Linked DNA regions of Arabidopsis thaliana. Each later gene encodes a partner of the first gene's protein in a complex. Each region holds a gene or a part of one and is shown on either strand. Other genes may lie near its edges. The genes, in order: JAZ10 and MYC3. A codon is read from its position in the direction of its gene.

Region 1 (4,877 bases):
CGTGATGAATCAAAGATATTAGGATTGGCTTATGCAGTCAACTTGACCAAAGCCAAACACTTGACTAATCTGAATCTGAATCTAAACCAAACATCTGAATCAGAGCTACTAATTAAAACTTGATATACGGTATTCCATCTTCAAAGCTTAAACAACATGATGTAAGTTTAGTACTCTCATTAGCCATTGCAATGTGCAAACTAAGTTTATGTCATCGCAGTAGATTAAATGAGAAGCAATTTACTTGACACAACTTAAAGAGACACGAAAACATTTTTAAGAAACTACATGTAATAAAAAAACTCTCACGTATGCACATGGTGGTATTTATTTCATATCAATAAGCTACAGTATCTTGGTTTCAATGATAAAGAAGACGCAGTGAATGGTTGTGTGGTTTTTGTTTCTTAAATCCGGACCAGCCATCCCTTTTTTGTTAGTACTAGTGATGGATACTATTCAATGAAAGGGGTAATTGTCTAAAAGAAGCCACACAAAGTACGTTCACTTTACCACTTCTTTTCATCTTCATTCCAATGTACAAATTCCACCAAACTCATGTTAAAAGACTTTTGACATAAAGACACAATTAGTCGGGTAGACTTGATAGTATTATATAACTAATACTCACGTGTTTCTTAAACTGTTTTCCATTATAACAATTAGGACAACCCAAGCTAGAGACCAACCAATATAATCAAAGATGAATGGCCACATTTCCTTTAATAATACTCTGATACGGAAGCTTCATGAGAAGCTAAAAGAGGCGTGTTATAATTTTCTTTACCATATACTAAAAAATAAAACAAAAGTAGAAGGTCACGGGATAAGAGAGAGCTTCTTAAATCAAGCTATCAATGACAATAAAGATAATAGACATTTTTAAAAACAAACCAATATATATAATCTTAGTAGGTAACGTAATCTCCTAAAAACGTTTGTCGTGAATAGTATACGATTTAGCAACGACGAAGAAGGCTTCAAAAGAAGATTGGAAATAAGCCAAATCCAAAAACGAACATGGATGTCTTCCGATTGAAAAAGACAAATTTGGTCCATGTCCCAATCTAAAAAGAGATCGTTTAGGCCGATGTCGGATAGTAAGGAGATGTTGATACTAATCTGCAAACACAACAAGACGAAAAAGAAAATGTGAAACCGCGTTTTGTGATAACTTATATAATATACAGATCTTTCTTTGGCCGTATGGTCTGATAAAAGTAAAAGTTCAAATTTTTTTCCGGTGTTTCTCCTCGTTTTCTCATCATTTTGAAAAATATAACTTGTCGGTGTAGCAAACAGAACTAGAGTCAAAGACTCAAAGTCAACGCGCTTTTTAAAAGTTCCATTACAATAGTAACCTACGTATACCGATATTACTACTGATCTCCATTATCTATCTACGTATAAGCATGTGCGTTGTTGAACAAAACTAGTTGAATCTTAAGTTGTATGTGAGAGTAAAAGAGGCAGGACCCATAATTACTATCTTAAATAACTTATAGTAAAAAAAAGGTCGAGAGAGAGAAAAATAAAAACCTTTCTTTAATTATTTGGGGGTAAAAATCCTTGGATTGTTGAAGAATCATTACCTCTCCTTGCGCTTCTCGAGAAAACGTTGCAGTGACTTTCTCCTTGCGATGGGAAGATCTGCATACACACGCATAAACCAGTTTCTTATCAGAAATTAAACAACATGTTTATACTTTTATTAATAACGTATATTAATACGTATAGACATAAACTATAGTCTTTAACTCTTTGATATCTAATTCCAAACTAATTAGCAACCAATTCCTCTCTAACAACAAACTCTTCTTAGATCTCTACATGCAATAATATGTAACTAAAATTCTAGAAGAATCCAGCACTAAGTGATTTTTATTTTTATTATACTAACCTCCTTCTAGATTCTGGCCAAAGAGCTTTGGTCTTAGAGTGGTCGGAAGAATTACCGAAAGATCTGTCTCCATCGACGACTCGTCTTTCTTAGATGCTGCTTCATTAGCGACCTTCATAATTTCACCAGCTTTGTTACGAGACACTTGGAAAACTGAAACACTTCCATTGTAGAAAATCGTCATAGGAACAGTTCCCGAAACGAGTTCGGTACTAGACCTGAGGAAAATGAATGTTTTGAAAATTTGAATTTCAAATTTTTTCGTCTTTTCTGGTAGCGCCAAAAAAGTTAGAAAGAAAAAAAAAACTTTACCGGAAAGACAAAAATACCTGGCGAGAGACGCGTGGACCGGAGAAATCGGGATCTGAGGCTGATCTTCCCTCGGAGTAGACGGAACCGAACGAGATTTAGCCGATGAATCGGAATTGTTTCCAGTGGAAGCTAACAGCGATTTGATAATCTCCGGATCGATTTTCGAAATCGCACCTTGAATATCTGCAGGAGTTCCATATGAATAAATTCGATTTATCGCAAGAAAAAAAAAAGAGAGAGCGACTAAAAACCAAACGAACCTCGGAAACTACGACGGCGATCGAGAAATTTCTGGAACTTAGGCTTAGGAGCGTTGTTGGTTTGTTTCTTCTCAAGTCCGAGGAAATCGAGTTCTATGGTAGCTTTCGACATCTTCTTTGATCTTATTAGAAAGTGAGAGAGAGATCAAGACAGAGAGATATGGGTTTTGAGATGAATAAATGGAGGAATAATAACGGATTCTGATTTCTCATGTGAGAGTTTTTAAAATGTAGTATGTCTCTGATACTTATTTAACGCACGAGGTTCATGCTTTCTCTTTCTTTTCGGCACAATTGGCAACCTATCCACTTTTTCCTTTTTGTTTTGTTTTTATTAGGCTCCCAACCTCTTCTCTTACTTATCTAATTAATTTAATGATTCAAAACACATGTTTAAATTCTTAATATACCTAATGTAATGTAATTGCTTGCTACGCAGAAAGAAGATATTTTATATCCGGAAATAACGGAAGTCCAATGAACATTGTAATGTTTTATAAAAATATATCTTCAAAAATTTGGTAACATGTTTCTGTTACTGTTCGTCACATTGGGTTCTTCTGACATTATATTTGTTTTCTACTCTAGTCTCTGATCTGTATATTTTTCTCGAAACATGTTTTTCTTTTCCATTTTTTCTTAATATGAATTTTAATCTTGCTACTACTAGCTCTACTAGTATAGCAAATCACATTTAGTAGATATCAGTCTTATTGATTTTTCAATATAAACAAAATTTGACATTACTATTCAAGAATAATATTTGGTTGACCTAATAATACAACTGAAATTTCTTACATTTCTAAACTAAAGTACACCAATAAACTTTCATCATATTTGGGAAAGTAACCAATAAAACATACAAATAGGGATTTTAGAACAATAAAATGTTGGTGGTGATTCACAGTTAGTGTTTTGAAAGAAGAAGAAAAAATAAGATTTTCAAATCCATTCAAAAAAAGATTTAAAGAAAACACCACTGCAGATGCATAAAGACTAGGTCAAGTCGGAACTTGGAAGTTTGTTTTCTGCCAAACCAGAAAAGACGGGTCGATCCTTTGGACGATGTCGATGGTTTTTCTTTTCTTTTCTTAGTTTCACATTTTGGCTGGTGTTTTTTTTTCACATGTGGCCGCTCTTTTTCTTGTTCTCTTGTTTAAAGCATATGTGGCTGCTCGTTTCCTAACAGATTTACATATTATTACATTGTTCTCAAGTAAAGTTATAGAGGGATTCAATGAACTCACGTTTTTCTTTCTTGTGAAAATATACCTTGAACCACTTCCGAATTAAATTGACCTCAATTTTCTATCTTGTGCTCAAATTTAAACTTCACCTTATTCTATCGCGCGCATGTTAGCTTAATTAGTTACATTTCTCCTTTTTACTATTTTAAATTAAAAATCATATAACTACAAAATGTAGTGATTACGAAAAGTAATTTTTTTAATTAATATTCTGAACTAATCAAATATTAAAAAAGAATTACGTATAAAAAACTTTTTTAGTAGTATATATTTGATGCCGAAAGTGAAAGTTTTTTTTTTTTTTTTTTCTTGGCAACCGAAAGTGAAAGAGTTAGATGCATGTCTTTCACGTGTTGGGAGCTGTAGTAGTAGTAGTTAATGTCAATACATATCATTATTCACTAGGCTAAGGTGCACTTCTCGATAAGTCTTTAGAGGTTTTCGTCGCTCTCTTTCATCTTCTCACGTTCCAGAGTCAATACGCCTTATTTATTCTTTTTCTTCCGATTATTTTTATTTGTGTTATCACACGTTTTGTCAGTGCTGCCGATTTTTAATGTCGATGTATTTTTCAAGCTGACTAATTTGCCCCTCTGTCCACCTTTCATATACGACCTTACCCTTCTTTTGGCCTTTAATCTCAGAAACACATATTTAACATTTTCAAATTTTTTGAATCGAATCTTGAAACGAAATATGAGAACACTAATGTATAGTGGATTTATTATATTGGATTTAACATGTATAGTGGATTCATCATTACTGTATTATCTATATTTTTTTTCTTGCATAAAACTAAATGGCCGAAACTTTAAGTCGTTTACAGCCCACACTAGTTAGTACCCTTACATAAGAATATAATTGAACCTATAGTTGAAAAGCCCCTTAAGGTAGTAAACCCATTTAGAGAAGAAAAGCCCATTTGAAGAAGTAAATCTGTAAATGAAACGGTTGTTCTTGTTGTCGTTCATTTCCAATACCATCCATAGTTTGCGTAAGGTTTGCTCGCCAAAGTCGTCGGATTCTGAATTCTAAACGCCGAGATCCGATGATACGAGTGATTGTTTCCGGCGAACTATGAGTGTTTTGAAGCAGGTTACGTGTAGAGAGAGCATCGATTGATGAATAAAAGCCAGGTTAGTGGTCTCGTATCGATTA
Region 2 (4,885 bases), about 15 Mb from region 1:
AAAGTCGTTTTGTAATTACATCATCCACGAGAATCACGTGAGCTGGATCATTTTAGCCATCGTGATTAACCATTGAATATTATTGTACATGTTGTCCTTTTCACTGACTACTTTTCTTCTTCTTTCTTTTTTTTTCTGGATATTTTGTTTATAAGTAATGGTTGGCATTATCATGTGTAGTTCTTTGTCAATAATCATGTGTAACTTTGACAAAAAAATCATATGTAACGTTTTAAAAAATTATATACTTTGGTTGGTCATTATAGTTTTAGCCAAACGATAAAAAATTTGATGAAAAAAATGTGGTTAAAGAAAACTTACAGTATACCGTGACAAAAATATGAAGATTGTTAATAAATAGATATGTCAATTATGGTGACAGAAACATGGAAAGCAGACAGACGATGCCTAGACAGAGGACCCAAACAATTAAAGTGGGCTACACAACATAATTCCAATATTTAAAAAAAGAAAAAAACAATTTAAAATGTCTAAGAAAAAATAAATTCGAATATGAATTTTATAGAGAAAATACAAATTTTATACGTTAATTTCTTCCTCTTTCAAAAATTGAACGGAAGTTGCTATGTTGTTGGATACATTATTATTTGAATATATATTACAAATAATTTTTAGGACTAGCAAATCATTTTTTGAGTTTTCTTTTTATGGTTTTCGTAGTCAACTCCACAACCGATAGTTTTACATCGATGCTTGTACAATTTTACAGTTTGACAGATGGTACTGTACTACGACATACGGTTCTATGCACCACACTAAAATCTCTAGATAGAAATCGTTTCCATTAATCTTCAATAATTTGTAATCTATGAAAATCAAACTTCATATATGGTGTGATGAAGTATTAATGGATATTTAGTTAACCATTACACCAAAAAAAAATTTACACCGGATAATTATTTGAAAACGTAAATTTCATATTAACGGTTCAAACTGATTTTTAATAAAATGAACATAATGAAATGATATTTAAAAAAAAAAGATGATTGGAGAAAGAAAACACTTTTAGTTTTTTCATATATATTTATTTTCCTATAACTAACATAAAATCAGTTGAAATATTATTTTAAATTCCTAACTTAATTGATATAAATTGAGTAGAATCTATTTTTTTCCTTTTAAAAATGCAATTCTTTTTTGCAGTTTAAAATATTAATTTATATGAAAAATAAAATTTATATTTTAGATTTCTAACTTATGAAATTTTGAATTATAGCATTGGTCCATATTCGAAACTCTAAGTCACTATATCACCATAAATGGATTATTTATTAGTTTTTTCTCCATAAAACAATAAGTGGCTATGTGATAATAAACGGATCTAAGTTATGTTTCAGACAAAACAGTGTCCAAACGAGAATTATCACTCCATGAATAATTTATTTACGTTTTCGTAACAGTTAACCAAATTATTATCGTTTGGTTTTTGTCATATAATATGTCGCAACTCTCAACAAAAACTTAAGAAAATAAGAAAAAATTATTTACAATTGTTTTAGAAAAACAATAAAAATAAAATATAGTATTGTAGAGAGAATCATCTTCTCCAAACAATCACTAAACGCCATTTGCTTAGCTTTTTCCCTCTTTTGATTTTTCCTCCCTACACGTCACCTCTCTCTTCTTCTCACCGGAAAAAAGTCTTCACCTTTCACCGGAAAATATCACCTTTTCAACCGGCGTATGTTCACATGAACGGCACAACATCATCAATCAACTTCTTGACCTCCGACGATGACGCGTCGGCGGCGGCTATGGAAGCTTTCATTGGAACAAACCACCACTCATCTCTCTTTCCTCCACCACCACAACAACCACCTCAGCCTCAGTTCAACGAAGATACTCTTCAACAACGTCTCCAAGCTTTAATAGAATCCGCCGGAGAAAACTGGACTTACGCTATCTTCTGGCAGATCTCACACGACTTCGATTCATCCACCGGAGATAACACAGTGATCCTCGGCTGGGGAGATGGTTACTACAAAGGAGAGGAAGATAAAGAGAAGAAGAAGAACAACACCAACACGGCGGAGCAAGAGCATCGGAAAAGAGTAATACGTGAGCTTAACTCGTTAATCTCCGGCGGAATTGGGGTTTCCGATGAATCAAACGATGAAGAAGTAACAGATACTGAATGGTTCTTCTTAGTTTCGATGACTCAAAGCTTCGTTAACGGTGTTGGTCTCCCCGGAGAATCTTTCTTAAACTCTCGTGTGATTTGGTTATCCGGGTCTGGTGCTTTAACCGGGTCGGGTTGTGAAAGAGCGGGTCAAGGTCAGATTTACGGGTTAAAGACGATGGTGTGTATCGCGACTCAAAACGGCGTCGTTGAGCTTGGTTCGTCGGAGGTTATAAGTCAAAGCTCAGATCTGATGCATAAAGTTAACAACTTGTTTAATTTCAACAACGGTGGTGGAAACAATGGTGTTGAAGCTTCTTCGTGGGGTTTTAATCTGAATCCAGATCAAGGAGAGAATGATCCAGCTTTGTGGATTAGTGAACCGACGAACACCGGAATCGAATCTCCGGCGAGGGTTAATAATGGTAATAACTCGAATTCTAATTCTAAGTCTGATTCTCATCAAATTTCTAAGCTTGAGAAGAATGATATTAGCTCTGTAGAGAATCAGAATCGTCAAAGTTCGTGTCTTGTCGAGAAAGATTTGACCTTTCAAGGTGGGTTGTTGAAATCTAATGAGACTTTGAGTTTCTGTGGTAATGAGAGTAGTAAGAAGAGAACTTCGGTATCTAAAGGGAGTAATAATGATGAAGGGATGCTTTCGTTTAGTACTGTGGTTAGATCAGCTGCGAATGATTCGGATCATTCTGATCTTGAAGCATCTGTTGTTAAGGAAGCGATTGTTGTTGAGCCACCGGAGAAGAAGCCGAGGAAACGGGGGAGGAAACCGGCGAATGGGAGAGAAGAGCCGTTGAATCATGTTGAAGCAGAGAGGCAGAGAAGAGAGAAGTTAAACCAGAGATTCTACTCTTTGAGAGCTGTTGTTCCTAACGTTTCGAAGATGGATAAAGCTTCGCTTCTCGGAGACGCGATTTCGTATATCAATGAGCTTAAGTCGAAGCTGCAGCAAGCGGAGTCTGATAAAGAGGAGATTCAGAAGAAGCTAGATGGGATGAGTAAGGAAGGGAATAATGGGAAAGGTTGCGGGTCAAGGGCAAAAGAACGGAAAAGTTCGAATCAAGATTCTACGGCGAGTTCTATAGAAATGGAGATTGATGTTAAGATCATAGGTTGGGATGTGATGATACGTGTACAATGCGGCAAGAAAGATCATCCCGGTGCTAGGTTCATGGAAGCACTTAAGGAATTGGATTTGGAAGTGAATCATGCGAGTTTATCCGTTGTGAATGATTTGATGATTCAACAAGCTACGGTGAAGATGGGGAGCCAATTTTTCAATCATGACCAGCTCAAAGTTGCTTTGATGACGAAAGTCGGAGAAAACTATTGAACAAAGTTGGCATATCAAAGAGGGGAAACTAGTGTTTTCATCGATGAAATGGGATCGAATTTAGCGGGTAATGTATGGTCTTTTGTAAAGTAGTAAGTACTCATTTTGCATCACTCGCTTCATGTTGTTAAATGTTGTTGTTCATTAGGAGAACTTGCTTAGTTCTTAGCTTAGTGTTATCATAAGCCTTAAGTGAGAAGGAAGTTGGAGACTAGAAGACCAGAGAGAGTTAGCGAAATAATAAAATCTTTGGTTGTACTTGTATGTATATATATGTATGGAGTAAGATTAAGTGAGATCCTAAATTCTATTGAAGTTTTTTTATTCTATGATTGAATTTTTTTGTTAGTTTGTAACTTTGTAGTGTACATAAAGGTCCAAATTTATGAACTGTAGTGTACCAAAAAGCTGAGGAAAATAAGTGGTTGTAAATGGGTTTTGCCTAGAGATAGTGCTCTTATCTTTGTAAGGGGGTATGAGGAAACTGTTTATAATGCCAAAAATGTGGAGACATGTGTGATTTGTTTGTAAAAGAAACTAAAAGTTAAACCAAAGATTTGTTAGTTTTAAGTAATGAGTAGGAAGTCTTTTAGTGCCTATCTTATCTTATCTTATGTGTGAGTTTGAGTATATCTCTATGTTTAGAGAGCCGTGTGATCTACCTATGTTTCTTAATTCTTATAGTCTTGTGTACATTAGTAACGACTAGTCTTTAAGTAGTTTAGTAACATATATACCGCAAAAATCAAGATTTTCCGAATATTCTTTTTGGAACTGAGTTTGTAGTATCACAATTTGAATTTAAATCCGAAAATTTGCTAGTAGGTTTAGTCTCAAATTTTTGTTTAAACCAAAATGTGAAGGCATTTGATTTTCTGCAAACATGAAGAACATTTACTGCATAATCAACAATGAAAGTTGCCAATAAGCTACTTTTCTCCACCATTGATGAGTTCTAATTAAAAACCACCAACTTAAGTTTTCATAATAAATTGAAAAATACTTTTCATGTAGTACCATAAAGTTGACCCCTCCTCTTTAAAGGATGTTAGAAAATTATAGCCATCTTTCATCTATCTTAGGTATATGTATATTAAATAGTTGTTCACTCATTCGTTCACACTATAATTTTGTAATGAAAATATATATGACAACAACTATTGTTAATTCTTACAAAATTTGTCTTTGATTATAACCAACGACCAAAGACAGAAAACTCTCTCATTTCTATGAAGGTTATAGTTGTTAATTAACGTGTGAGGCGATATCCCTACTTACACATGCAACGTGTGTGTTACCCAAAATCGAATTTACAAATATACACTTTTCACTAAAATTAGATTAGTTCTCGTTAGTCTTTTACTAAAATAAAACAAGAAACATATTACTAACTA

Evidence for each region.
Region 2: the proteins of JAZ10 (region 1) and MYC3 are in contact, whole or in part, in a crystal structure (PDB 5T0F), measured with the Arabidopsis thaliana proteins. Residues at the interface, in NP_568287.1 of Arabidopsis thaliana: Arg34, Ser35, Phe36, Arg37, Ile39, Gln40, Gly41, Ala42, Ile43, Ser44, Ile46, Pro48, Ile50, Ile51, Lys52, Leu54, Leu55, Ser57; in NP_199488.1 of Arabidopsis thaliana: Gln53 (codon at 1,869), Trp92 (codon at 1,986), Asp94 (codon at 1,992), Gly95 (codon at 1,995), Tyr96 (codon at 1,998), Tyr97 (codon at 2,001), Lys98 (codon at 2,004), Gly99 (codon at 2,007), Glu100 (codon at 2,010), His117 (codon at 2,061), Arg120 (codon at 2,070), Val121 (codon at 2,073), Ile122 (codon at 2,076), Glu124 (codon at 2,082), Leu125 (codon at 2,085), Asn126 (codon at 2,088), Leu128 (codon at 2,094), Ile129 (codon at 2,097), Ser130 (codon at 2,100), Glu142 (codon at 2,136), Glu148 (codon at 2,154), Trp149 (codon at 2,157), Phe151 (codon at 2,163), Leu152 (codon at 2,166), Val153 (codon at 2,169), Met155 (codon at 2,175), Thr156 (codon at 2,178).

Annotation. Positions count from the first base shown.
Region 1 is NC_003076.8:4,216,708-4,221,584, reverse strand, and holds JAZ10 (jasmonate-zim-domain protein 10), read right to left. Parts: upstream 2,758-4,877; 5' UTR 2,585-2,757; coding exon 2,473-2,584; intron 2,396-2,472; coding exon 1,901-2,395; coding exon of another isoform or gene 1,896-1,900; exon of another isoform or gene 1,651-1,895; coding exon 1,589-1,650; coding exon of another isoform or gene 1,546-1,588; 3' UTR 1,123-1,545; coding exon of another isoform or gene 1,083-1,122; 3' UTR 672-1,082; downstream 1-671. UniProt on the Arabidopsis thaliana protein: Repressor of jasmonate (JA) responses. Interacts with and suppresses RHD6 and RSL1 transcription factor activities to negatively regulate jasmonate-stimulated root hair development.
Region 2 is NC_003076.8:18,972,519-18,977,403, forward strand, and holds MYC3 (Basic helix-loop-helix (bHLH) DNA-binding family protein), read left to right. Parts: upstream 1-1,503; 5' UTR 1,504-1,712; coding exon 1,713-3,491; 3' UTR 3,492-4,072; downstream 4,073-4,885. UniProt on the Arabidopsis thaliana protein: Transcription factor involved in tryptophan, jasmonic acid (JA) and other stress-responsive gene regulation. With MYC2 and MYC4, controls additively subsets of JA-dependent responses.